Elephas maximus indicus: one gene and its partners. The protein of the gene in region 1 purifies or fractionates together with the protein of each later gene. This does not show direct contact. Links are inferred from orthologs where the notes say so. Each region holds a gene or a part of one and is shown in the gene's direction. Other genes may lie near its edges.

Region 1 (7,715 bases):
GGGTTCCAGACAGAGCTGGAGAAAAGTGCAGGACAAAATTCTAATTCACAAAATAAGACCAGACTTCTCCAGTCTGACAGAGACTGGAGAAACCCTGAGAGTAAGGCCCCCAGGCACCCTTTTAGCTCAGTAATAAAGTCACTCCTGAGGTTCACCCTTCAGCCAAAGATTAGAGAGGCCCACAAAACAAAACGAGACTAAATGGGCACACCAGCCCTGGGGCAAGGACTAGAAGGCAAGAGGGGACAGGAAAACTGGTAATAGGGAACCCGAGTTTGAGAAGGGAGAGTGTTGACATGTCATGGGGTTGTTAACCAATGTCATAAAACAATGTGTGTACTAACTGTTTAAAGAGAAGCTAGTTTGTTCTGTAAACCTTCATCTAAAGTACAATAAAAAAAAAAAGTGAAATTAAAAAAAAATTCCCAAAGCCCACTCTTCAGATAAAGATTAGACTAGGTTATAAAACATAAAATAATACTCATGAAGAGTGTACTTCTTGGTTCAATCATACACTAAACCAAATGGGGGGAGGCAGGATGAAAAAGCAGGAAGGGACAGAAACTGGTTGAATGGACACAAGAAAGCTGGGGTAGAAAGGGGGAGTGTGCTGTCACATTATAGGGATTGCAACTAATGTCACATAACAATATGTGTATAAATTTTTGTATAAGAAATTAACTTGAGCTATAAACTTCCACCTAAATCACAATAAAAATAAGAGTTATGTTTATACTGTAGTCTTTTTTTTCTTTTTAGTCTATTAGGATCCCTGGTGGTGCAGTAGTTAAGAGCTTGGCTGCTAACCAAAAGGTCAACAGTTCGAATCCAATAGCCACTCCCTGGAAACCCTATGGAGCAGTTTTACTCTGTCCTATAGGAGCCACAACAGTTTTGCAACAGTAGAACTTTCAAAACTGAAGACAACCCTCTCAAACCCTGCTGCTGCTTTACTAAGTCTATGTAACAGTCTAAATCCTTTGTTTTCAACAATGGTCACAGCATCTACACCAGTAGCAGATTCCATCTTCAGAAATCACTTTCTTTGCTTATCCATAAGAAACAGCTCCGCAACCACTAAAGTTTTATGAGATTACAGCAATTCAGTCACATCTTCAGGTTCCATTTCTCATTCTAGTTCTCTTGCTATATCCACCACATCTGTAGTTACTTACTTCCTCCACTGAAGTCTTGAACCCCTCAAAGTCATCCAGGGGTTGGAATCAACTTCTTCCAAACTCCTGTTAATGTTGATATTTTGATCTCCTTCCATGAATCATGAATGTTCTTAATGGCATCTAGAATGGAGAATCCTTTCCAGAAGGTTTTCAATTTACTTTGCCCAGATCCATCTTAGGAATCACTATCTAGAGCAGCTATACAGCCTTATGAAATACATTTCTTAAGTAATAAGACCTGAATGTCAAAATTACTCTTTGATCCATAGGCTGCAGAATGGATGTTTCGTTAGCAGACATGAAAATAACATTAATCTCCTTGTACATATTCATCAGAGCTCTTGGGTGACCAGGTGCATTGTCAATGAGCAGTAATATTTCAAAAGGAATCTTTTTTTCTGAGCAGTAGGTCTCAACAGTGGACTTAAAATATTAGTAAACCATGTTGTAAACAGATGTGCTGTCATCCAGGCTTTGTTGTTCCATTATAAAGCACAGGCTGAGTTGACTTAGCATAATTCTTAAGGGCCCTAGGATTTTCAGAATGGTAAAAGAATATTGGCTTCAACTTAAAGTCACCAGCTGCTTTAGCCCCTAACAAAAATGTCAGCCTGCCCTTTTATGCTTTGAAGCCAAGCGTTGGCTTCTCCTCTCTAGCTATGGAAGTCCTATAGGGCATCTTCTTCCAATACAAGGCTGCTATGTCGACACTGAAAATCTGTTGTTTAGTGTCGCCGCCTTCATCAATTATCTTAGCTAGGTCTTCTGGATAACTTGCTGCAGCTTCTTCAACAGTCTTTGCTGCTTCACCTTGCACTTTTATGTTATGGAAATGGCTTCTTTCCTTAAACCCATGAACCAACCTCTGCTAGCTTCAGACTTTTCTTCTGCAGCTTCCTCACCTCTCTCAGCCTCCATAGAATTGAAGAGAGTTAGGGCCTTGCTCTGGATTAGGCTTTGGCTTAAGGGAATTTTGTGGCTGGTTTGCTCTTCTATCCAGACCACTAAAACTTTCTCCATATCAGCAATAAGGCTGTTTCGCCTTCATGTGTTCACTGGAGTAGCACTTTTTTGGGGGGGGGGGGCGGTTATTTTCTTTTTTAGCTTTAGAGAGTTTTTGTGTGTGTGTGTGTGTGTGTGTATGCTTTAGCTGAAAGTTTACAGCTCATTTCAGGTCCTTATTCAAAAATGTATACATATATTGTTTTGTGACATTCTGATGTTTTGTCACAAGTGACAACACTTTCCCCCTTTCCACCTCGGGTTCCTTGTGTTATTTGTCCGTTTTTTTTGTCCCTTTCTGCCTTCTCATCTTGCTTTTGGACTGGTGTTGCCCATTTGGTCTCAGGTATCTGAACTAAGAAGCACGTTCCTTACATATGTTATTGTTTGTTTTATAGGCCTGTCTAATCTAAGAGCTACAGCTGCTTACCAAAAAAAGGTCAGCAGTTCAAATCCACCAGGTGCTCCTTGGAAACCGTATGGGGTAGTTCTACTCTGTCCTACAGGGTCGCTATGAGTCAGAATCGACTCAATGGCAACAAGTTTGGTTTTTGGTTTAATCTTTGTCTGAAAAGTGGGCTTCAGGAGTTGTCTCAGTTCTGAGTTAACAGAGTGTCCAGGGGCCGTAGTCTTGGAGGCTCCTCCAGTGTCTGTCAGACCAGTAAGTCTGGTCTTTTTTCATGGGTTTGAATTTTGTTCCACACTTTTCTCTCCACTGTGTCCGGAACTCTCTGTTGTGATCCCTGTCAGAGTGGTTGCTGGTGGTAGCTGGGCACCATCTAGTTCTTCTGGGCTCAGGCTGGTGGAGATTTTGGTTCATGTGGTCCTTTCATCCTTTGGGTTAATATTTTCCTTGTGTCTTTGTTTTTTGTTTTTTTTTCTCATTTTCCTTTGCTCTGGATGGGATAGGACCAATAGATTACTGCTCACAAGCTTTTAAGACCCAGACGCTACTCACCAAAGTAGGATGTAGAACATTTTCTTTATGAACTGTGTTATACCGATTGACCTAGATGTCCCCCGAGACCATGGTCTCCAGCCCCAGCCCCAGCAACTTAGTCCCTCAAGGTGTCTGGATATTGGAGTAGCACTTTTAATCTCCTTCAAGAACTTTTCCTTTGCATTCATAACTTGACTGTTTGGTGCAAGAGGCCTAGTTTTTGGCCTATCTCAGCTTTCAACATGCCTTCCTCACTAAGCTTGATCATTTCTAGCTTTTGATTTAAAGTGAGAGACATCTGAATCTTCCTTTCGCTTGAACACTTAGAGGCCACTGTAGGGTTATTAATTGGCCTAATTTCAATATTGTCAAGTCTTAGGGAATAGGAAGGCCTGAGGAGAGGGAGAGATGGGTAATGGCTGGTGGAGAGCACACAACATTTATCCATTAAGTTCGCCATCTTATATGGGTACAGATGGTAGCACCCCAAAACAATTACACTAGTAACATCAAAGACCATCATAACAGATATAAAATAATGAAGAAGTTTGAAATATTGCAAGAATTACCAAAATGTGACACAGAGACGCAAAGTGAGCACGTGCTATTGGAAAAATGGTGGCGACAGACTTGCTCAATGCTGTGTTGCTACGAACTTTTAATTTGTAAAAAAAAAAAAAAAATGCTATATCTGAGAAGCGCAATACAAGGAAGTATGCCTGGGTTTGCATTTTGTTAGCAATGTTTCAGCTTCTCTTTTGGTAGCTCCTTTTTGTGTCTAGTCTTCAGCAATATTTTCTAAAGCGTCTAGAATATAAATGTACGATTCCAAGATTGTACCTGTTGCTACAGCATGTGCTTCCCAATGCGTATTAGAAAGACATTTTAATACTCCATCATCGCCTAAATATGTTTTAAGAATCGCCCATCAGTGAGTAGAGGTGACAAAGAATGTATAGGGTAACTGAACAGTAGGAAAAAACCCAACTGCTTCTGAAAGAGAAAGATGTCAAGAAGGTGTTTAAGTGGAACAAAAACAAAAACAAAACGAAACCTCATAATTTAAACAGCCTTGCCACGTGTGCGGCTCCCTCATGACGCTGTGTGAACTGACTGGCACAGTCTCATGCCCTGGAGCTGGCGCCCTGCTGGTTCCCTTCCACTGCTGCGCTCGCTTTTCTGTATGTCCTGTCGCTTGGCATCTACGGGTCTTTGCTTTGGACACCTGGTGCCCCTGTTTTGTTGACATCCTAAACATGTGCTTACCTTGCATATCGGGTAATCAGTCCCTGGAAGGATGAGTGGAAACAGACTGAAGGGAAATTATGTCCCCAGGCCTCTTCATTTCCAGCTTTGTAGGCATGAGAGAGAGCCAGTAGTGTTGGAAAGGGGTGCTTTGAGGTTTACTGGCCTGGATTTGAATTGCACTCTGGCGTCGCCACTTACCAGCGGCAGGACCCCGGGGTGTTAATTTACAGTTTCTTCTACTGTAAAATGGAGCTGATAATATCCACTTGCCCACCGCCACCAAAGCCAGCCAAAATGTTTGCGTGGAGGAGTTAACTGGGATCTCTGATCCCAGACGAGTGCCTGGCACCGCTGCTGGCGCCTGGGGACCTTGCGTCCTCCCCTTTGCCTGGAGGCCTTCTCTCCACACTGGGGCTGCCCCTGCTGCCCAGCCCGCCCCGCGGCGTCCCCCGCAAGCCTGCGGGTGGAGGCGCCAATCTCCCCCAGCCCGGAACTCATGCGGACGTGTGCGGGCACGCGGCTGGCTAGGCCGCCGCAGAGGAAGGCGGGGTTCGCCGGGAAAACGAAACTGAGAGCAAGCTGTTCAGACACCGCAGAGCTTCAGCGGACAGCAGCAGCGCGGGCTGAGCGGAGTCGTCAGGCGGTAAGGCCGGAGCAGCGGGCACGGGGCGAGCGCGGGGGCGGCCGGGCAGGCGGACAGCGGGGCGAGCGCGGGGACAGGCGGGGGGCCCGGCCCGGCGGCCCGGCCCGGCGGCTGGGCGGAGGCGCGCGCCGATCCCGCGACCCCGCCGGGAATGCAGACCCTGGTACGAGGCCCCCGGAGCCAGCGCCGGGAGAGCGGTCAGAGCCCCGCCGCGGTTGTGCGGGGCCCTTCCCGGATGTGGGCTGAGGGTCGTGGAGCGCGGTGAGAATTTTTATCAGAGCGATTCATACATCGCTCCCAGGCCGGCGGAGGGGGTGAGGATAGGCCCAACGACTTGACATGGGGAATGTGTGGAGGCCTGAAGTAGCCACAGCTTGATTAATAGTCCGTGGGTAGAAATCTCCTGCTTAGACAGTCACGGTGGTGTCCCACCCGCTAGCCCGGCACCTGCTCCGCCTCTACCTGACCCGCTACCTCTTCTCAACACCGCTATCAGAGTGTTCTGTAAATCAGAGCCAACTCTCACCTGCCAGGTACTCCCCCACTGGCTTCCCTTCTCATAAGAATCCTGTCTTCAGGCCTTGTCAGGGCCCACAAACGAGCCCTCTCGCTCCCTCCACACAGCGTCCTCGCTGTTACACTGCTGCGTTTGGGTCTTTGCACTGTTTCCGCTTTCGCCCCTCCCCGCCCCATACCTGCATGGACCAGCTCCTAGCTTCATCCTGTGCTTCCTCAAATGCCACCTTGTCAGAGAGGCCTTCCCTGAACACTGTATGAAAACACCACCACCCTGCCCGTCTTATCCCCCTCTCTCTCCTGCTGGCTTACTCTGTCACTCTTACTCTTCTGTCTCCCTTACTCTGCTTTGTTTTTCACCATAGAACTTATCACACTCTGATACTTATTATAAGTTTATTATCTGTTCCTCTACTAGTAAATAAGTCCACAAGAGCAGGGACTTATGTGTTTTTTTCACTGGCATAACCTCAGTGCCAGGTACATAATAGATGCTCAATAAATATTTGTTAAATGAATGGTAACTCATCAGTTCTCTTTTGAATTCCAGAATAATGAGATATCCTCTTGCTCATGTTCTCCTTAGTGCTAAGAACACCTTGCCAGAATGGAAGCTAAAAGATACACTCTCAGCTGTCAGTTAGAAACTATTTAATCTTGGACAGATTATACTCTTGTTCTTCATTTTGCCTCTTTGAACCAGAAGATCCATAACACTCAACCTGTAGTTTAGTCATTTATTAATTAGGTATTATTTGAATGCATGTTATAGGCCAAGCATTGTGCAGACTCTGGAGGTGGTCTGGTCTACGGAGGGCTCCCAGTTTGCTGGCAGGGAAGGTGGGCATAGCCAAAGAAACTTCTGGACATGAATAAGAGGGACAGATAATATTTGTTAGTCAGTATGGTGGAGATCTCCTTTCTGAAAATGATAACATAGAATTAAAACCAGATTTGTCAAAGATAATTAAAAAGAAACCTATTTCCTTGCTTCCAAACTCAAAAGTACTGTTTCAAACATACCAGTGCAGCACTTTATTAGTTTACATATACATTCATGTGTTCACGCATGTTCAAACTGGTTGTACTGAGGATTTGGAGCATTCTATAGGACTTTAGAGTATAATTGCCAGGGGCTCTCTTGTCACTGCAGTTCTGAGATCTGTGACCCCTTCAGCTGGATATGTGGCCTCATGGTCGTGACTAACTAAATGACACGTTGGTTCCTGAAAATAATGGTGCAGTTCACAGTCCCTTATTCAAAACCCTTGGGCCAGATTTGTTCCAGAATTCAGAGATTTTTGGATTTTAGAAAGGCAATGCAGTGTAAATACTACTTATTATAGAATGCCCTTGGAGGGATTTGGGGCGGTACCTCATAATAAAACATATTAGTATTTCTGCAGTGACAAGTTATATAGGTAACAAAGTATAATAGAGACTCTAAATGGCTCATGACTGTTCAGGTCAACACAGGTAGCTCCAAACCTACCAAAATGAATAAATTAACAATAAACAAACAAAAACCCCTAGTTATCAGAACTATTTGGAGTTTGGGATTGCAGACCTGGTATACCCTTTTGAGGCCAGTTATGTGGGTGGGGTGGGGGATTCTGCTAAAGACTTTATATCTGACTTATTCCTCATGACAATCTTGCGAATCAGGCATTTTTATTCCTGTTTTCAGATCATGAGTCAAAGGCCCACAGAGGTGTCTAGTCCAGGTCTGTGTCGCTCTAATGCCTAAGCTCTTTCTCCAATTCCAGGCTGTAATGTGAATGTGCTTCCTTTTCTCAGACTCTAGGGACTTCCAGTGCCCTGCTTCCAGCTACCACTGTCTGTCACCTAAACCACTGCAGGAGCCTCACGTGGTCTCCTTACTTCTACTCATGTTCATGCCCCACGCCCATACTCTGTTCTTCACCAGCATCAGAGAGATCAGTCAAAAACGTAAGTCAGATCACATCACCCCTCTTCTTAGAGCCCTCCAGTGGCTTCCTACTGCAATTAGAATAACAGCTGGGTACTGACCATGTTATTCTGGAGCAATAAGCAACATCATGATAAATGGAGAAAAGATTGAAGTCAAGGGTTTCATTTTACTTGGATCCACAATCAACACCCATGGACGCAGCAGTCAGGAAATCACATGACGTGTCGCCTTGGGCAAATCTGTTGCAAAAGACCT
Region 2 (6,965 bases), on another chromosome or scaffold:
TTTTTATATACACATGGACCTCGCCAGATGGAAATCACAGGAATCAAATTGATTACATCTGTGGAAAGAGATGACGGAAAAACTCAGTATCATCTGTCAGCACAAGGTCAGGGGCTGACCGTGGAACAAATCATCAATTGCTCATATGCAAGTTCAAGCTGAAGTTGAAGAAAATTAGAATGAGTTCACTAGAGCCAAAGTACAACCTTAAGTATATCCCACCTGAATTTAGAGACTATCTCAAGAGTAGATTTGACTCATTGAACATTAATGACTGAAGACTGGACTAGTTGTGGAATGACGTCAAGAACATCATACGTGAAGAAAGCAAGAGGTCATTAAAAAGACAGGGAAGAAAGGAAAGACCAAAATGGACATCAGAAAAGACTCTGAAACTTGCTTTTGAAAACAGAGTAGCTAAAGCAAATGAAGAAATGATGAATTAAAGGGCTGAACGGAAGATTACAAAGGGCAGCTTGAGAAGACAAAGTAGAGTATTATAATGAAATGTGCAAAGACGTGGAGATAGAAAACCAAAAGGGAAGAACACACTCGGTGCTTCTCAATCTGAAAGAACTGAAGAAAAAATTCAAGCCTCAAGTTGGAATAGTGAAGGATTCTATGGGGAAAATACTAAACAACTCAGGAAGCATCAAAAGAAGATGGAAGGAAAATACAGAATCACTGCACTAAAAAGAATTGGTCGACATCCAACCATTTCAGGAGGTAGCATATGATCAAGAATCAATGGTACTGAAGGAAGAAGCCCAAGCCAAGACATTTGGAAGATAGATACCTGGCCAACTGACTGGAAGAGATCTATAATTGTACCCATTCCAAAGAAAGGTGATCCAGCAGAATGCAGAAATTATCAAACAATATCATTAATATCACATACAAGTAAACATTTTGGTGAAGATCATTCAAAAGCAGTTGCAGCAGTATATCAACAGAGAACTGCCAAAAATTCTAGCCAGATTCAGAAGATAATGTGGAATAAGGGATATCATTGCTGATGTCAGATGGATCTTGGTCGAAAGCAGAGAATACCAGAAAGAATACATGTGTTTTATTGACTATCCAAAGGCATTTGACTGTGTGGATCATAACAAATTATGGGTAACATTGTGAAGAACAGGAAGTCTAGAACACTTAATTGTGCTCATGAGGAGCCTCTACATAGATCAAGACGCAGTTGTTCTAACAGAACAAGGGGACACTGTGTGGTTTAAAGTCAGGAAAGGTGTACGTCAGGGTTGTATCCTTTCACCATACCTATTCAATCTGTATGCTGAGTAAATAATCTGAGAAAGTGGAATGCGGCATCAGAATTGGAGGAAGATTAACAACCTGCAATATGCATTAGACACAACCTTGCTTGCTGAATGTGGACTTGAAGCACTTACTAATGAAGATCAAAGACCACAGCCTTCAGTAGGGATTACACCTCAACATAAAGAAAACAAAAGTTCTCACAACTGGATCAATAACAATAAGCAACATCGTGATAAATGGAGAAACTATTGAAGTTGTCAAGGATTCCATTTTACTTGGATCCACAATCAATGCCCATGGAAGCGGCAGTCAAGAAATCAAACGATGTATTGCACTGTGAAAATCTGCTGCAAAAGACCTCTTTAAAGTGTTAAAAAGCAAAGACGTCACTTTAAGGACTAAGGTGCGCCTGGTCCAAGCCATGGTATTTTCAATGGCCTCATATGCATTTGAAAGCTGGACAATGAATAAGGAAGACAGAAGAATTACTGATGCCTTTTAACTATGGTGTTAGCCAAAATGTTGAATACATCATGGACTGCCAGAAGAATGAACAAATCTGTCTTGGAAAAAGTATAGCCAGAATGCTCACTAGAAGCAAGGATGGCAAGACTTCATCTCACATACTTTGGACATGTCATTAGGAGGGACCAGTCCCTGGAGATAGACATCACACTTGCTAGCGGGTCAGTGAAAAATAGGATCCTCAGTGAGATGGATTGACACACTGGCTGCAACAATGGACTCAAGCATAACAATGATAGTGAGGATGGCGCAGAACTGGGCAGTGTTTTATTCTGTTGTACACAGATAGGGTCACTATGAGTAGTAACCGACTCGACGGCATAACGAACAAAACATATGCATGCAAAAGCTGTATAATGAATAAGGAAGACCAAAGAAGAATTCATATGCCTTTGAATTATGGTATTGGCAAATAATATTGAATATACCATGGACACCAGAAGAACAAACAAGCCTGTCTTAGAAGTAGAGCCAGAGTCCTCCTTGGGGGTGAAGATGGCGAGATTTCATCTCACATATTTTGGACAAGTTATCAGCAGGGACCAGTCCCTGGAAAAGGACATCACGCCTGGTAAGGTAGAGGGTCAGCAAAAAAGAGGAAGATCCTCAGCAAGATGGATTGACAGAGTGCCTGCAACAAGGGGCTCAAACATAGCAACGACTGTGAGAATGATGCTGGACCTGGCAACGTTTTGTTCTGTTGTACATGCCGTCTCTATGAGTTGGAGCCGATTTGACGGCACCTAACAACAAGGCTCTGGGCCAAGCTCTATTTCAAGGTGATGAGGATTCAGCTGAGAACAAAATAAAGAAACACCCTTTCTTCCTTGAGCCTTGCCTTTTAGTGGGGAGACAATAAACAAGATAAAAAGTAAAATATATACTATGTCTAATAATGATGTGTTAAGGAGAAAAAAAAGCAGGAAAGGTGGACATGAAGTGTGGATAAAGGGGTAAAATTTGAGATAGGGTAGCCAGGGGAGAAATTTTTGGTAGTGTTGCTGTTGTTAGCTGCCATCAAGTCAGCCCAGACTCATCACAACCCCTGACCATTGAGCTCTATGGAGTTTTCATCGGCTAATCTTTAGAAGTAGATCACCAGGCCTTTCCTCCTAGTCCGACATAGTCTGGACTGAATCCTGTTCAACATCATAGCAACACACAAGCCTACACTGACAGCTGGGTGGTTGCACCATGAGGTGCACTGGCCAGCAATCCAACGCAGGTCCTCAGCATGGAAGGAGAGAATTCTTAGGTAGGGTAGCCAGGGAAAGAAGCGGGGAATTGCGCCTTGAGACCATCTGGGGGAAATGCATTCCAGGAGGCCAGTGTGATCCCGGTAGAAATGAAGGAAGTGTAAGCTGAGTAACAAAGGAAATGAGGCCAGGGAGGGTAAGGGAGTCAGATTGTGGAGGACCATGTTGGTCAAGGTAAGAACTTTGGCTTTGATGAAGTGTGAGATGGCAGCCATTGGAGGATTTGCACAGAGGAGTACTATGATCGTTGCTACAAGAGGAACCCTGGACTGCTGGGTCCTTGATGGCCAAGAAAAAGAACAGTGAGGAGCCTACTGCAATAATCTAGGCAAGAGTTGGTGGCTCCAGAAGATGAGAGGAGGAGCAGGTCTGAGGTTGGAAGATAAAATTTCGGATTTGGACAGTTACGTTGGAGAAGTAGGCAACTGGATGTAGAAGTCTGCAGTTCAGGGGAAGGTCTAGGCTGAGGAACTCGACATATTAGCAGTAATCGAATCATGGAGATAAAGCCACGGCTCTACCACTTCCTAGTAGCACTCTTGATTAAACCAATTCCTGGTTCTGGGCCTCAGTTTCTCTACCAGTAAAGTGGGGAAAATATTTCCAGATAACAGGGCGTTCGTGAGAAAGAAATGCGAGTGCTAAAGGCTGACCGTAGGCAAGGTGAGGACCCAGAGCCACGGGTCGCACGTGCCCTTCCCGTAGAGAGAGGCTGCTGTGGCCCCGGACACCGGCTTGCCTACCGACAACCAATGCTCCCAGGTTCCAGTAGCAGCACAGAATAAAGGTGCCACACTGGGCGCCGCGACGCGGTCTGCGGCACCCAAACCTCGCGAGATTTGTTGGCCGGGCATAGTGGCCCTAGACCCACATCTCGCGAGACCAAGGCGCGTGAGTGGCTCTCGGCCGGTTTGGGCTTGCGGGAAAGATGGAATATCCCACGTTGGGCACCGCGGAGGCCGCGGACGGCGGAGGGGCCGGGCCGTACAACAGCTCGGAGGAGCGGGAGGGCCGGGAACCGGACGGGGCGCGCCGCCTGTGGGAAGCGGTGTCCGGGGCCCAACCTGCGGGGAGGGAGGAAGGTGAGTCCAGGAGCCTCAGAGGCAAGAAGCCCGTCACCCGCCTGCTCGGCCCGAGGTGTGTGGCGGGAGCGCCTGGCGGACCGCGGACCACACTCGCGGGTCACAGTCACACCCCCTGGCGCCCGGCCCGCCCCCTCGCGTGACGCGCGCGGTGACTCCGGGGCTAGTGTTCCTCACCACGGCCGAGGCACCGTGAGTCCCCTCCCCCGAAAATCAGGGCCGCGGCACCCCAAGATTCAGGCCCCCGCGTGCAAATCATCAAGGACCTTCTCACCCTCTGGCCACAGGTTTTGTCCCCGCCCTCTTCACCTACCTGAGCGCCGCTCTTCCCTAGACGTTTCCCAACATACCTGCAGCGAAGCCGAGTACCCCTCACCATCTCTCCCTGACTCCCCACCATCCCAGTTCCCAGTCCCCCCACCCTTAGTGTCTCTCGTCTTTCTCCTCTCAACCCCCACACTTCCGAGGGCTCTGAAAAATATCTGCTTTCTCTTTTTGTTCTTTCTGGCCTTGGCGACAGCCCTGGCTTACCCCTGTTTCTAGATGTCCAGCGTCTACTGCTGGGTTCCTTTTCTGAGATGGGAGCCAGAAGCCTGAGAAACTGGCTTAAATTTGCTTTGACCCCAGCTTCTTTGGAGCCCACCGCCCTCTGCAGCGTCAGCTAGGTAGTTCTACCCAGCTGTACTCAAACCATCTGGGCTTCTGTGCAAATCCCGCCAGGTATCTGCAGGGAAATTAGGTTTCTCTAATAGTTTGCTTGCTGAGCAGACTAATCTTAGAAAATTTAATGAATTGTTTGTGAACTGATTGCTTTGAGATAAACATAAATTTTTGACCCTATCCAAGGCAGATATGTTTAAATTTGAGGTGATACACAGACTCTACCCTGGTGTGTACTTCTTCAGTTTAAGAACAAGTTTAGTCTGACTTCCAAATTAAGATGTGTAGCATCTCTGTGTTCCAACTCATGCTTTCAAACTTGTTTGGTACAAAGTAACTCCCCTCCTAATTTTCTTTTAATTTGACAAACATTGGCTCATGCCTGCTCTGTTCCTAGCAGTGGCTGGGCATCAGAACTACAAAGATGAGGAAGGTACTGTCCTTGCCCTGGAGAGGCTGCAGTCTAGTCCACCAAGCAGACACCAAAACAGTTTTAAAATGTGTAATGGTGCAGTTTGGGGGAGCACAAACAGGAAATGACCTTTGGTCTAGGGGGAAAGGGAGGGCGTGCTCTGGACCTTGAAGCACTAGGTCTGAAAAGTGAACTGTGTATGTGTGCATGAATGTGCAGTGTTACTTATGACCCAGTCCATCCTCCTATTGTCAGTTCTCCCGTATTTGTATAAGGTCCAGGTAGATAATCTGCTACACCAATTTCTACTCACTTTGGTTGTTTTTGTAACAGCTTTATTGAGTTATAATTTACATACCATAAAATTCACCATTGTAATTGTACAATTCAATGATTTTAGTAAAAGTGTAGAGTTGTGTAACCATTACATCAATCCCGTTCTAGAAAATTTCCATCACTCCACATCACTCCTTTGCAGTAAATTCTCACTCCCACCCCCGCCTTAAAAAAAAAAAACCACCAAACCGGTTGTTGTGAGCCAATTCCGACTCATAGCTACCCTATAGGATGGAGTAGAACTCCCCTAAAGGGTTTCCAAGGAGTGGCTGGTGGATTTCAACTGCCGACCTTTTTTTTGATTAGCAGCAGTAACACTTAACCGCTACGCCACCAGGGCTCCCCCCTGCCTTGGGCAACCACTAGCCTGTTTTCTGTCTCTGTAAATAATTTGTCTTTTGGAATCATACAATGTGTAGTCCTTCGCATTTGGCATCTTCTCCTTAGCATGTTTTTGAGGTCCATCCAAGTTGTAGCATGTATTACTGCTTCATTTCTTTTTAATGCTGAATAGAATCCATTATATCGATAGACCATATTTTGTTTATCCATTCATTAGTTGATGGACATTTGGATTGTTTCCAGTTTGATTTTAGGACCCCTCACGCCCTTTGCACCATCAGAGTCTAATTGTGAATAATTCTGGTATCAACATTTGTGTATGAGTTTTTGTGTGGATATATGTTTTCATTTCTCTTGGGTGTATACCTAGGAGTGGAATTGCTAGGTCATATGGTAACTCTCTTGAACATTTTGAGGAACTGCCAAACTGGTCTAAAGTGAGGACGGCCCTGAGTACCCAGAACTTGCAGGTGGTATCTGAAGGTAGGGCAGTCTTGCAGTCTGTTCTCTCAGACTTTGCAGTTCGGCAAACTCCATTGCAGTTGTCTAAACTCATGTAGTCAATGATAAAAGGGCCGATGCATCAGGAAGATATAAAAATTATTAATATTAAAATTATTAAACATTGTTAATGGCATCACAATGTATGTGGGGTCCAGTTTCTCCACATCTGCACCCACACTTGTTATTATCATTATCTTTATTATAGCTATTCTGCTGAATGTGTAGTGATATCTCATTGTGGTTTTAATTTGCATCTTTGTAAAGACAACAAATATTGAACCTCATTTCATGTGCTTATTTCCCATTTGTATATCTTTTCTGGTGAAAAATATATTCAAACCTTTTGCTCATTTTGTAATTGGGTTTTTTGTCTTCATATTTTTGAGTTGTAAGAGTTCTTTATGTATTTGGATGCAAGGATGTGATTTGCAGTTTATTTTCTCCCAAACTGTGGCTTTTTTTTTTTTTCCATTTTCTAAATGGTGCCTTCTGAAGTGTAAAAATTTTAAATTTTGATGAAATTCAATTTATCAATATTTTCCCTTAGGATTATGCTTTTGGTGTCATATCTAA
Region 3 (7,274 bases), on another chromosome or scaffold:
CCCAGATGGCCACTTGCTAGCATTTAAGACCCCAGACCCCACTCACCGAAGTGGGATGCAGAATGTTTTCTTAACAGATTTTATTATGCCAATTGACCTAGATGTCCCCTGAAACTTTGGTCCCCAAACCCCTGCCCCGGCTGCTCTGGCTTTCAAAGCGTTCGGTTGTATTCAGGAAACTTCTTTTGCTTTTGGTTTAGTCCAGTTGTGCTGACCTCTCCTGTATTTGTGTGTTGTCTTTCCCTTCACTTAAAATAGTTCTTGTCTATCTAATTAGTGAATACCCCTCTCTCTCGCCCCCCCAACCCTTGTAACCATCAAAGAATATTTTCTTCTGTGTTTAAACTTCTTCTTGAGTTCCTATAATAGTGGTCTCATGTAATATTTGTCCTTTTGCAATTGACATTTCACTCAGCATAATGCCTTCCAGATTCCTCCATGTTATGTTTCATGGATTCATCATTGTTCTTAATCATTGCGTAGTATTCCATTATGTGAATATACCATAATTTATTTATCCATTCATATGTTGATGGGCACCTTGTTTGCTTCCATCTTTTTGCTATTGTAAACAGTGCTGCAGTGAACATGGGTGTGCATATATCTGTTTGTGTGAAGGCTCTTATTTCTCTAGGATATATTCCAAGGAGTGGAATTGCTGGATCGTATGGTAGTTCTAGCTCTAGCTTTTTAAGGAAGTACCAGATCAATTTCCAGTGGATGTACCATTTCATATTCCCACCAGCAGTGTATAAGTGTTTTCAGTCTCTCCACAACCTCTCCAACATTTATTATTTTGTGTTTTTTGGATTAATGTCAGCCACGGGTGAGATGGTATCTCGTAGTTTTGATTTGCATTTCTCTAATGGCTAACGATCATGAGAATTTCCTCATGTGTCTGTTAGCCGCTTGAATGTCTTCTTTGGTGAAGTGCCTGTTCATATCCTTTGCCCATTTTTTAATTGGGTTGTCTTTTTATTGTTGAGTTTTTGCAGTATCACGTAGATTTTAGAGATCAGACGCTGATCGGAATTGTCATAGCCAAAAACTTTTTCCCGGTCTGTAGGTAATCTTTTACTCTTTTGGTGAAGTCTTTGGATGAGCATAGGCATTGGATTTTTAGGAGCTCCCAGTTACCTAGTTTCTCTCCTGGTGTTTGTGTATTGTTAGTAATGTTTTGTATACTGTTTATGCCATGTGTTAGGGCTCCTAGCATTGTCCCTATGTTTTCTTCCATGATCATTATTGTTTTAGATTTTATATTTAGGTCTTTGATCCATTTTGAGTTAGTTTTTGTGCATGGTGTGAGGTATGGGTCTTGTTTCATTTTTTTGCAGATGGATATCCACTTAGACTTCGGGGTCTTTGTCAAATATTAGCTGTTCATATATGAATGGATTTACGTCTGGATTCTCAATTCTGTTCCATTGGTCTATGTATCTGTTGTTGTACCAGTACCAGGCTGTTTTGACTACTGTGGTGGTATAACATGTTCTAAAATCAGGTGGCATGAGGCCTCCCACTTTGTTCTTCTTTTTCAGTAATGCCTTAGTTATCTGGGGCCTCTTTCCCTTCCATTGAAGTGGGTGATTTGTTTCTTATCTCATTAAAAAATGTCGCTGGTGTTTGGATCAGGATTGCATTGTATCTATAGATCGCTTTGGGTAGAATAGACATTTTTACATGTTGAGTCTTCCTATCCATGAGCAAGGTATGTTTTTCCGCTTATGTAAAGTCTCTTGATTTCTTGCGGTAGTGTCTTATAATAGTTTTCTTTGTATAGGTCTTTTACGTCTCCGGTTAGATTTATTCCTAAGTATTTTATCTTCTTGGGGCCTATTATAAATGGTATTGATTTCGTGATTTCCTCTTCAATGTTCTCTTTGTTGGTGTAGAGGAATCCAACTGATTTTTGTATGTTTATCTTATATCCTGATACTCGGCTGAACTCTTCTATTTCAGTAGTTTTCTTGAGGATTCTTTAGGGTTTTCTGTGTATAAGAGCATGTCATTTGCAAATAGAGATACTTTTACTTCTTCCTTACAATCTGAGTGCCCTTTATTTCTTTTTCTAGCCTAATTGCTCTGGTTAGGACCTACAGCACGATGTTGAATAAGAGTAGTAATAAAGGACATCCTTCTCTGGTTCCCGTTCTCAAGGGGAATACTTTCAGACACTCTCCATGTGGGATGATGTTAGCTGTTGGCTTTGTATAAATGCCCTTTATTATGATGAAGAATTTTCCTTATATTCCTATTTGGCTGAGACTTTTAATCATGAATGGGTGTCAAATGCCTTTTCTGCATCAATGCTTGATAAAGTTTTGTTAAATGATCGAATGAGGCAGTTTCAGTGGAATATGTAGGTGCTCTAGTTAAGGGTAAGTGCTGAATAACAGAGAAGCACAACATAAGGAACCCCCTACCAGAGGGGGAGAAGGCTTTACTAGGAGGTAAGAGTTGAAGCAGGTCTTGAAAGACTACTAGGAGCTCACCAGAAGCAGTAGAGGGAGTACATTTTCTAGTCCAAGGAATCAGGCAGACAAAGGCACAAAAGGGAGAGAGTATGGCCTACTGAGAAATTTGAAATTTGGGATGACTAACAGGGTGGACTGGATTCCTGGGTGGTGCAAATGGTTACATGCTCAGCTACTAACCGAAAGGTGGATGTTTCAATCTACCCAGAGGCACCTCAGAAGAAAGGCCTGGCGATCCACTTCCAAAAGATGACATCCATTGAAAACCTCCTGGAGCATAGCTCTCCTCCCACACAGACCAGGTTGGCTCCATGGCTACTGGTTGGTAACTCGGTAGATGGAATGAGAGGTCAGTGGTGATTGGTTGGTTGGTTGATAACTGGGTAGATGGAACGAGAGGGCAGTGGAGATTGGTTGGTTGGTAACTGGGTAGATGGAATGAGAGGGCAGTGGAGATTGGTTGGTTGGTTGGTAACTGGGTAGATGAAATGAGAGGGCAGTGGGGATTGCTTGGTTGGTTGGTTGGTAACAGGGTGGAAGGAATGAGAGGGCAGTGGAGATTGGTTGGTTGGTTGGTAACTGGGTAGATGAAATGAGACGGCAGTGGGGATTGCTTGGTTGGTTGGTTGGTAACAGGGTGGAAGGAATGAGAGGGCAGTGGAGATTGGTTGGTTGGTTGGTAACTGGGTAGATGAAATGAGACGGCAGTGGGGATTGCTTGGTTGGTTGGTTGGTAACAGGGTGGAAGGAATGAGAGGGCAGTGGAGAAAGGCTCAGCTGCAGATGATGCTGTGAAGGAACTGCCTTGTAAACCTCATAGGCAGTGGGGATAAAATTGAGATTAAACAGAAAAATGAATTTCTCACAGGTAACTGGGATTGTCTGTAGAATTTTTTCCTAAACATCTTGAACAAACTAGAGCAGTTATATAAACCTGATCATGAAATAAATTGAATTTTTCTCCTCTAAATAACAAACAAAAGTGGGTATTATGACATGGAATTTGAAATAATTTAAACGCTAGTTTTTGTTTTTGTTTTTTAAACAATGGTGTAACTGGGACGAATGGAGAGTGGTGGTGAACGGTAGGCTTTCCCCAGTCTGACCTGGACGTAACAGCAGTGTGGCCTTAGGCAAGCCTCTGTTTCCACATCTGTAAGATGGGAATAATGCCTCCCCAGTAGAGCTGTTGTGAGGACTAAATGCGATAACGCATGTAAAGTACTTAACTCTTGCCTGAATAGATGAATCGTGCTGGTGGCCTGAGATAATTTTATAATATAGATCCCAAATTGTACACTGCTGTTATTATTACCTTGCTACTTTTTTTTACTATTACTGGCTGGTATCCCTTTACCTCAGTTTCTAATACGCTAGGAATGTTAATAGATAGTCTATGACCGGGACATTTAGTCATTTAAGAGCTGTGCTCCCCGCCCCCTTTTACCTTGAGAGAGGCATCATCACATTAACGCCGCGACAGGGAGACCGGCGAGCAGAGCCTCACGCTGCTTCTCCAGTGCTGAGGCTTCACTGTGTCTTTGTTTTCCTTCTGCTTTATCCCACGTATTCCTGAGAGGGCTGTGAGGGGAATTATGAGCTCAGTGAAGTTGTATTTATAGCTGTTTTCCTAAAGAAATAATACGTTCCCCACTCTTACGCAAGAAAGGGATCAGATCTGTAATCGGCGCCGGCGCCGTGAAAGCGGAGGGCTCACACTAGATTTGCCTAAACTCCTCCTCTTGGCCAAACTTTCCGAAGGGGAAGTCTTTCTGAGGAAACGAAAGCGAAACTGAACTGGAGCCATTTTCGTAGTTGCGGCCCTGCTCTCAGGGCTGGCCCCGAGAGGTATTTCCTGTCCCAACGGCCCCCAGGTGCCCCTTGCTTACGTGAAACAGCAGTTGGGAGCCCGGGCCGCTGCCGCTCCCAGAGGTTTGCAAGGCTGAGCCCGGGGGAGGAGGGTCGTGCTGCCGGCTGGCAGGCAAGGGATGCCTGGGGCGGCGTGATGGACCCGCGACAGGTGATCTGGCGACAGGTGAGCGGCGACCGGCCACACAGACCCATGGGATCGCTCCAGAAGGGGACCCTGTCTCTGGAGCCTTGGACTGGCCCTAAAACATCACGTGAATTTGGTGCTTTAGTCCATGACATATGCGTGTTGTTTTAAAGTGTTTTCATTTTGCTCTTTTTCTTGCTGAGTAAAACTGCCGTTCTAGGAATTTGTACCATGCTAAGTACTCTGCTGCATTGAGCGAAGTGCGGAGGAGCGCTTGTGTGGAAAATGCGCCCAAGTCTGAGTAGCCAGCCTGAGGTCACGTGAAAGCAAACACCCCCTTCTCATTGTCTCTAGGTCCCTTTGCTGCCCCTGCCTGTTTTTCCACCTCCTGAAGGGTTTGGGGGAAATTATAAGTAGCTCTGTAGGAGAAAGTTTATAGCAGCATTATTCATTATTACTAAAAACTGGAAAAACTAATTGTCCTTCACCAGCTGAAGTGATAAACTGGGATAGCATCCAAACAAAAATGGAGTACTGCTCAGCAATAAAAAGGAACAGACTACTGTATTGGCAACACCGTGGATGAATCTCAAGTGTCGTAGCTAAGCAAAAGGGGCCAGACTCCAAAGGCTACATACTGTGTGATTCCATTTACGAGACGTTTTGGAGAAAGCAGAGCTGGCTATGGGATGGGAACAGAAAACAGATCAGTGGTTGCCAGGGGCGGGGCGGGGTGGGGAGGGAATCCACAGCAAAGTGGGGAAAATGGAAGTGTTCTCTGTCTTAATTATGGCGGTGGCTCTAAGGCTATAGGTGCTTACCAAAACCCATAGAATTGTACACTAAAAAAGGTCAATTTTACTGTATGTAAATTATTCTTATAGTTTTTAAAAAGCTGACTCATGGTGACCCAATATGTCAGAGTAGAACAGTGCTCCGTAGGGTTTTCAGTGGCTGATTTTTCAGAAGTAAATTGCCAGACCTTTGTTCTGAGGCACCTCTGGGTGGACTCAAACCCCCAACTTTTTGGTTAGCAGCCACGTGCATGAACCATTTGCAGCACCCAGGGACTCCTTAAAAGAATTCCTATTGCCATCGATTCCGACTCATAGCGACCCTATAGGGCAGAGACCCTATAGGACAGAGTAGAACTGCCCCCATAGGGTTTTCAAGAAGTAGCTGGTGGATTCAAACTGCCAGCCTTTTTGTTAGCAGCTGTAGTCCTGACTACTGCACCACCAGGGCCTAAATTGAAGGAAAAGAATTTCTTCATGTATACCATTTGGAGCCTGTGTGGTAACCATGGGGGCTCATCTCTTGATCCTAAATATGTGAGACCAAATTAAAGTGAAATTGAGTGGACATTGAATGTTAAATGACGGTCACCTAGTTTGCGTAGTAAATAGATGTGGAGTGGAAGAGGGGAGCTGTTGAGAGCTTTAGGAATGATCACCATGAATTTCCTACTTTCTTCTTCTCACCTGCATTCACTGTGTATCCAGATGGCTTTTCTCATGTGGTGGTTTGTTTGGTTTGGCTTGGCTTTTAGGGGGTATTGGGGGCATAAGCGAGAGAAAGTTGTGGCAGTCTGCTTCTATAAAGATTTACAGCCTTGGAAACTCCATGGGGCAGTTCTGCTCTGTCCTGCAGGGTTGCTGTGAGTTGGAATCATCTCAGTGGCAGTGGGTTTAGGGGCTGTAAAGAAAATATTAATGATTCCCTCTTCCCCTAATCCTACTTCCCTAAAACAACCACTGTTAACAAACTCATGGTGCCTTCCCCTCTTCTGTTTCTTTGTGTTCATTATGAGACATACATACACACACATTCATGGGTTCTTTCCTTTTCTTTACCAGAAAAAAAGAGGTTATAACATATATGTTACTCTGCAACTTGCTGTTTTTGTTGTTCCATTTAACATTATATCATTCCTAAATTTCCTCCAGGTTAGTACAAATAGATCTAACATACTTAAAAAAAACCATGAATACTCTTCCATAGCATGAATGTATCATAATTTTCAACTCCTTTTCTATAGAGGCACATTCATGTATTTCCAGGTTTTAGCCAAGTGGTACCAGTTGAAATCTAGAAAGCATTAGCTAGAAACTGGCTTTGTCATTGTTTAGTGCTGTTGAGTCAATTTTCAGTTTGTAACGGCTCCATGTGTTACCGGGTAGAACTTCCCTGTAGGATTTTCTAGGCTGTAATCTTCACAGGAGCAGATCATCAGGTCAGTCTGCTCTGTAGCCACGGGTGAGTTTGAACCACCAGCCTTTGGATTAGCAGCCAAATACTTAACCATTGCGTCACCAGGGCGACTCAGAAATGACTGTAGACACTTTGAAACAGAGTTCTTTTTCCCAGGGCCACTCAAAGAGCTAGTCAGAAGACCCCTATAGTCGCAGTAATTCAGCTTTGTGAGCCGGGCACTCACTCTGCGCACTCACAGCTCTGCCCCCAGCGTCATGGGGGGGTGTGCTGCCTGCGGCAAGATGTGACTGCTTATGCAGCCACTAGTGGTGGTTCACGATCAACTTTGTACCAGGTGTTCTCTCAGGTGCTGGAGATGCAAAGGTGGTGGAAGCATAGTCCTTGCCCCTGCAGGGCTCGCTCTGGAGTCCATTGCAGCCCCCCATCAGTACTGCATGTATTGGGAGTAGAGAGTTCAGTATAATTTCTAGGATCAATATTGTTAATCACCTTTCAGATATACTGCAATCTATGTGTGCCATAATTTGAAGTAAAATATATATATATATATGTGTGTGTGTGTGTGTTTCATATTTACATGTATATTG
Region 4 (7,687 bases), on another chromosome or scaffold:
TAGAGGCTTATATTAAGTGAAAACAAAAGGGGTTTCTCAAAGTTGTTGAGATCTAAATAATGTTGAATTCTAAAGAGTAAAAATAAATCACTGAAATGCTTTTAGTGATTTATTCACACTTCAGCTTCCAAATAAATTATTTTCAATTAAAAAAGAGACAGTCGGGTCTATATTGTTAGTTATACCTAGTATATTTTAACACCATTTGAATAATGTTGCACTCTATTTTGAATTGAAAATGTAAATGTTTAGGTTTCTTAATTTACGGCTTTCAAATTCTTAATGTTACTAATTTGCTCCGATTGAGCAGGAAACTTATTTTTTTGGCTTGTTGAAATAAGTTCATTAATACTTAAAGCACTGTTGTTAGGGACTGTCAAGTCAGTTCCGACTCATAGCTACCCTGTGTACAATACAACAAAACACTGCCCAGTCTTGTGCCATCCTCACAGTTGTTGCTCTGAGCCCATTGTTGTAGCCACTGTGTCAGTCCATCTTGTTGAGAGTCTTCTTTTTCACTACCCTCTGCTTTACCAACCATGATGTTCTTCTCCAGGGATTGTTCCCTCCCGATAACACATCCAGAGTACATGAGACGAAGTCTCATCATCATTGCTTCTAAGGAGCATGCTGGCTGTACTTCTTCCAGGACATATGGCAGTCCATGGTACAGTCATTCTTCGTCAACACCATAAATCAGAGGCGTCAATTCTTTGGTCTTCCTTACTCTTTATTGTCCAGCTTTCACATATGTATGAGGTGATTAAAAATACCATGGCTTGGGTCAGGCACTCCTTAGTCCTCAAGGTGACATCTGTGCTTAACACTTCAGGGAGGTCTTTTGCCGCAGATTTGCCCAATGCAATACGACATTTTTCTTTTTCTTGTTTTAATTGTGCTTTAAGTGAAAGTTTACAAATCAAGTCAGTCGTTCATACAAAAACTTACACACATCTTGCTGTGTAATCCTAGCTGCTCTCCCTCTAATGTGACAGCACACTCCTCCTCTCCACCCTGTATTCCCTGTGTCCATTCAACCAGGTCCTGTTCCCCCCTGCCTTCTTATCTCCCCTCTAGGCAGGAGCTGCCCACATAGTCTTATGTGAGTCAAGAAGCTCACTCCTCAACCAGTATAATTTTCTGTCTTTTAGTCCAGTCCAATCCCTGTCTGAGGAGTTGGCTTTGGAAATGGTTCCAATCTTGGGCTAACAGAGCGGCCAGGGGCCATGACCTCTGGGGTCCCTCCAGCTTCAGACCATTAAGCCTGGTCTTTTTATGAGAATTTGAGGTCTGCATCCCACTGTTCTGCTCCGTCAGGGATTCTCTGTTGTGTTTCCCGTCAGTCCAGTCGTTGGTGGTAGCCGGGCACCATCTAGTTCTTCTGGTCTCAGGCTGATGGAGTCTTGGCTTATGTGGCCCTTTCTGTCTCTTGGGCTCATACTTACTTTGTCTCTTTGGAGTTCTTCATTTTCCATTGCTCCATTTGGGTTGAGACCAATCGATGGATCTTAGATGGCTGCTTGCTAGTGATTAAGACCCCAGACGCCACTCACCGAAGTGGGATGCAGAACATTTTCTTAATACATTTTGTTGTGCCAGTTGACCTAGATGTCTCCTGAAACCATGGTCCCCAGACCCCTGTCCATGCTGCTCTTGCCTTCAAAGCGTTTGGTTGTATTCAGGAAACTTCTTTGCTTTTGGTTTAGTCCAGTTGTGCTGACCTCCTCAGTGTTGTGTATTGTCTTTCCCTCGCCTAAAATATTTCTTGTTTACGGTCTAATTAGTAAATACCCCTCTCTCCCTCCCCACCTTTGTAATCATCAAAGGATATTTTCTTCTGTGTTTAAAATTTTTCTTGAGTTCGTCATTTGATTTCTTGACTGCTGCTTCCATAGTTGTTGATTGTGGATCCAAGTAAAATGAAATCCTTGACAACTTCAGTATTTTCTCTTTTTACCATGATGTTGCTCGTGGGCCCAGTTGTGAGGATTTTTGTTTTCTTCATGTTGAGGTGTAATCCATACTGAAGGCTGTAGTCTTTGATTTTCATCAGTAAGTGCTTCACGTTCTCTTTACTTTCAGCAAGCAAAGTTGTGTTATCTGCGTAATGCAGGTTGTTATTGTTAATGAGTCTTCGTCCAATCCTGATGCTGTGTTCTTCATACAGTCCAGCTTCTTGGATTATTTGCTCAGCATACAGATTGCATAAGGAAGGTGAAAAGATACAACCCTGACACACACTTTTCCTGATTTTAGACCACTCAGTATCTTCTTGTTCTGTTTGAATAACTGCCTTTTTGTCTATGTACATTTCTGCATGAGCACAGTTAAGTGTTGTGGAATTCTCATTCTTTGCAGTATTATCTGTAATTTGTTATGATCCATGCAGCCAATGCTTTTGCATAGTCATTAAAACACAGGTAAACACCATTCTGGTATTTTCTGCTTTCAGCCAAGATCTACCTGACATAAGCAGTGATATCCCTCGTTCCATGTCCTCTTCTGAATCTGAGTTGAATTTCTGGCAGTTCCCTGTCAATATACTGCCGCAACCGTTTTTGAATTTATCTTCAGCATAATTTTACTTGTGTGTGACATTAATGACACTGTTCAATAATTTTCGCACTCTATTGGATCACCTTTCTTTGGAATGGGCACAAATATGGATCTTTTCCAGTCAGTTGGCCAGGTAGCTGTCTTCTACATTTCTTGGCATAGATGAGTGAGTGCTTCAGCACAAAGCACTGTAGGATTACATACAATTATAGAGCTGAACAGCATTGTCTTAGTTAACTGTTGCTGCATGATAAATTATTACTGAATTTAAGGGCTTAAAAACAACATTTATTGTGTGAATTAGAAGTCTGGGTGGAGCCTAGCTGGGTGTTTCTGGTTCAGGGTCTTATGAGTTTGGAGTCAAGCTGTTAGCTGGGGCTGCAGTTTCATCTGCTGCTCTACTGGCAGAAGGTCCGCTCTGAAGCTCATTCATGTGGCAATTGGCAGGATTCGTTCAGCTGCTTGTGGGCTGTTGGACTGAGGGCCTCAGTTTCTTTCTGGCTGTTTGTGAAAGCCTCCCTGAGTTCTTTGCCCCGTGGGTCTCACCAGAGGGCAGCTCACAACATGGCTGCTAACTTCCCTCAGAGCAAGTGAGTGAGTAACAGAAAAAGCAAGGGCGAGTATCCAAGATGGAAGTTACAGTCTTTTTATAATTTAATCTTGGAAGTGGTATCTCGTTATTTCTGCTGTACTGTATTCGTTAGAGCTGCCTACCACAAGGACTTTACGTTTTAAAGATTAAACAAAACAGAAATAAAAAACCAAGGAGAAAGATTAAGAACTCAGATACACAAGTTAATGTGACCAAGGCTCAAGACATAATTGCCTGAAGAGCTAGGACTAAAACTCAAATTCACTGGTACCCATGCCTTGTGCTCTTCCTATTAGAAAATGGGAAAATAATTAAAAAATAAATGAAAATTGATACAGATACAGAGGACACTTGTAAGAAATATACTGAGGGCCTGCATAGTCGTTTTGAATTGACCCCAATTTGTCATCTGCAGAAAGTGGTAATACAGATATGTATGTATATATATGTGTGTGTGTATGTGTATGTCTTGAAATTTCTTGCATGGGCACACACACACACGCAAGTATTTTAAGAACCTTTGCTTCTAAGAGAAAATTTTAGAGCATAAAAATTTCTACACAGTGATAAATATGTATACTTTGTTGCTTGGACTTAGCACTTTTGCTGTATATCAAGACTGTTGTTGCTTTGTAGATAATGTTTTGGGGGATTTATACATAATTTATATTTTGTGTAGACTTTTCCTATTATAAGGGCACACACTTTATTTACTTAAGATTTGGGTTTTCCTGCCCGTCTTTAACATGTATTTCTGAGTTAAGTGTAGAGGAGATTTACCACATGGAAAGAAATAAAACCAGGAGGAAAGGGCTGGACCCAGAAGGAAACAAACCCAGATGTAACAGTGGATATATGTCAGGGTGGTGAGACTATGGGTGATTTTTTGGTGAAAATTTTGTGTTGAATTTTAATGTGCATGCTATTTTTATAAATAACAATAGTAGAAGTATACAGTTAGAGAAAAAGAAAAGAAAATCTAGCTAGGTAATCTTACTATATGTGCTCTTTAAAAAAGAGAACATTGCGGGTGTTGCATCTTCTTCAGGCTTAATTTGTCTTATAGAGAATGGGAACAACGTTGTTTCAAACCTAACTAGAGCAAGGGGAGTTTACACTAAATTTTAAGATTTTTTTTTTTAATAGCTTCACTCTTGCTGGGTTTTAAAACTCTAGAGGTAGAAGGGGCTTTGTTCAATTTAAATCTGCACTGTTCGGTATGGTAGCCACTAACCACATACTTTATATTGTTTAAATTTAAACAAATTCAGATTAAATAAATTAAAAAATTTACTTTTTTGGTTGCGGGAGCCACATTTCAAGAACGCAGTAGCCACATGTCGCTAGTGACTACTCGGTTGGACAGTACAGATATAGACTATTTCCATCATCATTGAAAGTTCTATACTGATCTGTATCAACTCCCATTTTATATTTGATTTTGATCAAGGGCATGTGTTTAAAATGCTAATCATTGAGGTCACTGACTAAGTTGAACTTTATTTCTTCATTTTCACTTTCCAGTTTTTGGAGCCGTGAGGGGTATAGCAGTTTGGTCAATATTGTCTTAACATGCTTCAAATAAATCAGGTGAGTTTGTATTAAGGCATGCCATGCTTATATGGTGCTTTGGCCATAAACTGTAGAATATTTTAATTCAGCTTTTCTATAACTCAAACCTGACCACCGCTTTTTAGAGCAATTACATACCATATCTTCATCATAGGAGACTATACAGGACAGGGCAGGCTGTTTTAGGATTGTAGTGATGGTCTTGAAAGATGTTAACTTTTGAGTGTGCGAGCAGAAGTTTTATTCTTTTTGAGGTCACATTCTTGTGGGACTCGTTGGTGTGTTCAGAATGCCTGTGATAGTGATACAGCTTTAGCAGGTGCCAATTCTGCAGGCTGGAAGCATTTCTAGTGACAAATCTTGTGAAGTAGTTGTATCAGTGGGTAAAAAGAGTTTCCTTTTCTAGGGCACTAGAAAAGGCTAGAAGGAAATGCTCTGCTAAATAAACTGTATAATATGATATACCTTAGACTCAATGGAAGAAGTATCGTTTTAGGGCTTAGCAGTTCTCCAAGAACTTTATATATTTAATTTTATCCTTTCTGAATAAATATGCCATTATATCATAACTATAATGTTAGAAAATACTTTTATTTCTTTGATTGCAAATCAAGAGAGAAGTGATTAATTTTTCCCCCTGTAATCTGAGGAAATAATCCTCCGCCCCCAATCTCGTTCACCTTGTCTAAATCGCAGTTCCTGTGTGTCACACACTATCTGTAAGCCAGTGACTTCTAAGTTTATATTTCGTCTAGACCTTCTCTTCTGAGCTCGAGACTCACATCGCAGTTACCAACTTGATCTCTTAATTTGGATGTCTTTATACGTCTCACACTTAATGTTTGCTAAGAAACAGTCTACGTAAATGCTTTAGTTACACTGGACTGTTTTAGAACCTAGATTGGACCAAGGTTGTTGCGGCTGCATGGCCTTTGCACAGGAGATGACTCCTGCCTGGACCTCTCTTCCTCTTGCCTGTGCTTGGCTCACTTCTATAGGGAGCCATTCTCGAAACCTAGGATAGTAAATGCCCTTGTATCACCCCGCCTTTTTATTTCATCACATATGGAATATGCAGTTACGTTCAAATACGTTAAATATGTCTGTCTCCTGTGTTAGATTTGTATGCTCCACGAAAGCAGGGACTTTGCTTGTTTACTCTTATGTCCCCAGGCCTAGTCCAGTTTTTGGATATAGTTTTCCTGAATTTGCGGAATGGTGCTAGGCTTATCAGTAAAGCAAGGAGATCTCCATTTTTTCAACAATAACCAGAGTTGTGTTGTCAGTTTTGGTACTATGTGACATTTGCTTTATACAAATACTGTTAACATTAACTCTCTCCCTTATGCGAAGTTCTTTGATTTTTCTCCTTCTACTAGAAAATTTTCTTCTGCAACAATATTGCTTTCATCAAAGATATTGCTAATACGGGCTTAAAGGAATCTTAAAGCTGTACTGTGTGTGCTCAGTGCTTCTTGTACCTTCACAGCAGCTATTAAATCCTATTGGAAGCATCTATGGGACTTGTTGAGCCCTGGTGGCAACAGTGGTTAAGATCTCAGCTGGTAACTAAAAGGTCAGCAGTTCAGATTTACCAGCTGCTCTTTGGAAACCCTGTGGGGCAGTTTTACTCTGTCTTACAGGGTTGCTGTGAGTTGGAATCAGCTCAATGGCAATGGGTTTCAAGGGGTATGGTGCTTATAACACATGACATGCAAGCCGTATTGTATAGGTGTGAAGTTACTGCAAAATAATTACATGGGTACAAGTAGAACCATTTGTTTGATTTTTTTTTTTGTCATAAACAGTTTGAAATGGTCATTCATTTTATGCCAGTCAGTTCATTGAAAATTATAGTTTATGGATTTGTCCTAGTGGAGATTTACTAACTGGCTAGGTTACAGGTCACATTGAAGCAGGCAAACAGTTCCTAGGCAGCATTCTGCATGGCCATAGGCAGTTCCCTGAGCTTTGCTAGAAATTGTACGTAGTGCCTGGATATGTGCACACATTGCTTATAATATGCATTTCTAGAATGACTTAAGGAATCTGTCTTTTTACTGACTATATGTTTCATCCCTCATGAGAGTGAGGGTTCTCAAGATAATTGTGAAAAGGCATGAAAAAGTGATTTAAGCTGACCCTCAACTTGAAGGACACTCTAGTGGTGTAGTGGTTAAGAGCTACAGCTGCTAATCAAAAGGTTGGCATTTCGAATCTACCGGCTGCCTCTTGGAAACTGTGTGGGGCAGTTGTACTCTGTCCTGTAGGGTCACCATGAGTCGGAATGGACTCGACGGCAGCAGTTTTTTTGGTCTCATCTGGCAACAGTTGAGATTTGTTACTGTGTGATTTTCAGTACTGTCTTTAGAAATAGTACTGAATTTTAATTTGGGAGGTCTTTTGTTTTGTTGTCTTACAATGCCAGTATTAACAGATTCTTCCATATATGTTCCTAGAATTACTTAAAAATGACTAGTGAATACTAAGTTGATGTCTTGTTTGATGTTATCTCTGTCTGACACCATTATTATGGAACATGGGAATGTTCCCTGTTCTGTTAGGATGGTGGCACTTTTACCTTTAAATTGTGATCCTCGATTTTGCTTTTGCCTATTAAGAATGTATGTCATTATCCATGTACAGGCCAGCTTACTATAGAAAAATTAGGTGCTTTTGATAAAGCAAAAAGAAAAAAATCAAATAATTCCACTATTTTTTTACAGAGATAATCACTGCTAACATTTTGGGGTGTATACTTCTAGAATTTTTTCTATGCAGGTATGTTTTTCTGTGAATATATGTTATTAAAAAAAGCTGGGATTATACAGTACATAATTTTCTGAAATGATTTAATAATTCATAGTTTAGTAGTACTAAAATTTATTTAACCGACCACTTATTGTTGCACAGATTTTAATACTATTGTTAGTGCCACGGTGAATTTATTTTTACGTATATGCATGC

Evidence for each region.
Region 2: the proteins of EIF2AK2 (region 1) and ZNF346 purify together in Homo sapiens (affinity purification with mass spectrometry; 3 studies listed by BioGRID and IntAct, with this or other methods). This does not show direct contact. The link is inferred for Elephas maximus indicus from reciprocal best matches to the Homo sapiens genes EIF2AK2 and ZNF346.
Region 3: the proteins of EIF2AK2 (region 1) and ADAR purify together in Homo sapiens (affinity purification with mass spectrometry; 3 studies listed by BioGRID and IntAct, with this or other methods). This does not show direct contact. The link is inferred for Elephas maximus indicus from reciprocal best matches to the Homo sapiens genes EIF2AK2 and ADAR.
Region 4: the proteins of EIF2AK2 (region 1) and STAU2 purify together in Homo sapiens (affinity purification with mass spectrometry; 3 studies listed by BioGRID and IntAct, with this or other methods). This does not show direct contact. The link is inferred for Elephas maximus indicus from reciprocal best matches to the Homo sapiens genes EIF2AK2 and STAU2.

The regions. Positions count from the first base shown.
Region 1 is NC_064844.1:27,162,870-27,170,584, forward strand, and holds the start of EIF2AK2 (interferon-induced, double-stranded RNA-activated protein kinase), read left to right. Parts: upstream 1-4,713; 5' UTR 4,714-5,011; intron 5,012-7,324; exon of another isoform or gene 7,325-7,477; intron 7,478-7,715.
Region 2 is NC_064820.1:197,308,992-197,315,956, forward strand, and holds the start of ZNF346 (zinc finger protein 346), read left to right. Parts: upstream 1-3,945; 5' UTR 3,946-3,984; coding exon 3,985-4,138; intron 4,139-4,234; exon of another isoform or gene 4,235-4,425; intron 4,426-6,965.
Region 3 is NC_064821.1:192,457,822-192,465,095, reverse strand, and holds the start of ADAR (double-stranded RNA-specific adenosine deaminase), read left to right. Parts: upstream 1-4,252; 5' UTR 4,253-4,482; coding exon 4,483-4,512; intron 4,513-7,274. UniProt on the Homo sapiens protein: Catalyzes the hydrolytic deamination of adenosine to inosine in double-stranded RNA (dsRNA) referred to as A-to-I RNA editing.
Region 4 is NC_064833.1:68,282,232-68,289,918, forward strand, and holds the start of STAU2 (double-stranded RNA-binding protein Staufen homolog 2), read left to right. Parts: upstream 1-4,668; 5' UTR 4,669-4,720; coding exon of another isoform or gene 4,721-4,738; intron 4,739-7,446; 5' UTR 7,447-7,495; coding exon of another isoform or gene 7,496-7,501; intron 7,502-7,687. UniProt on the Homo sapiens protein: RNA-binding protein required for the microtubule-dependent transport of neuronal RNA from the cell body to the dendrite.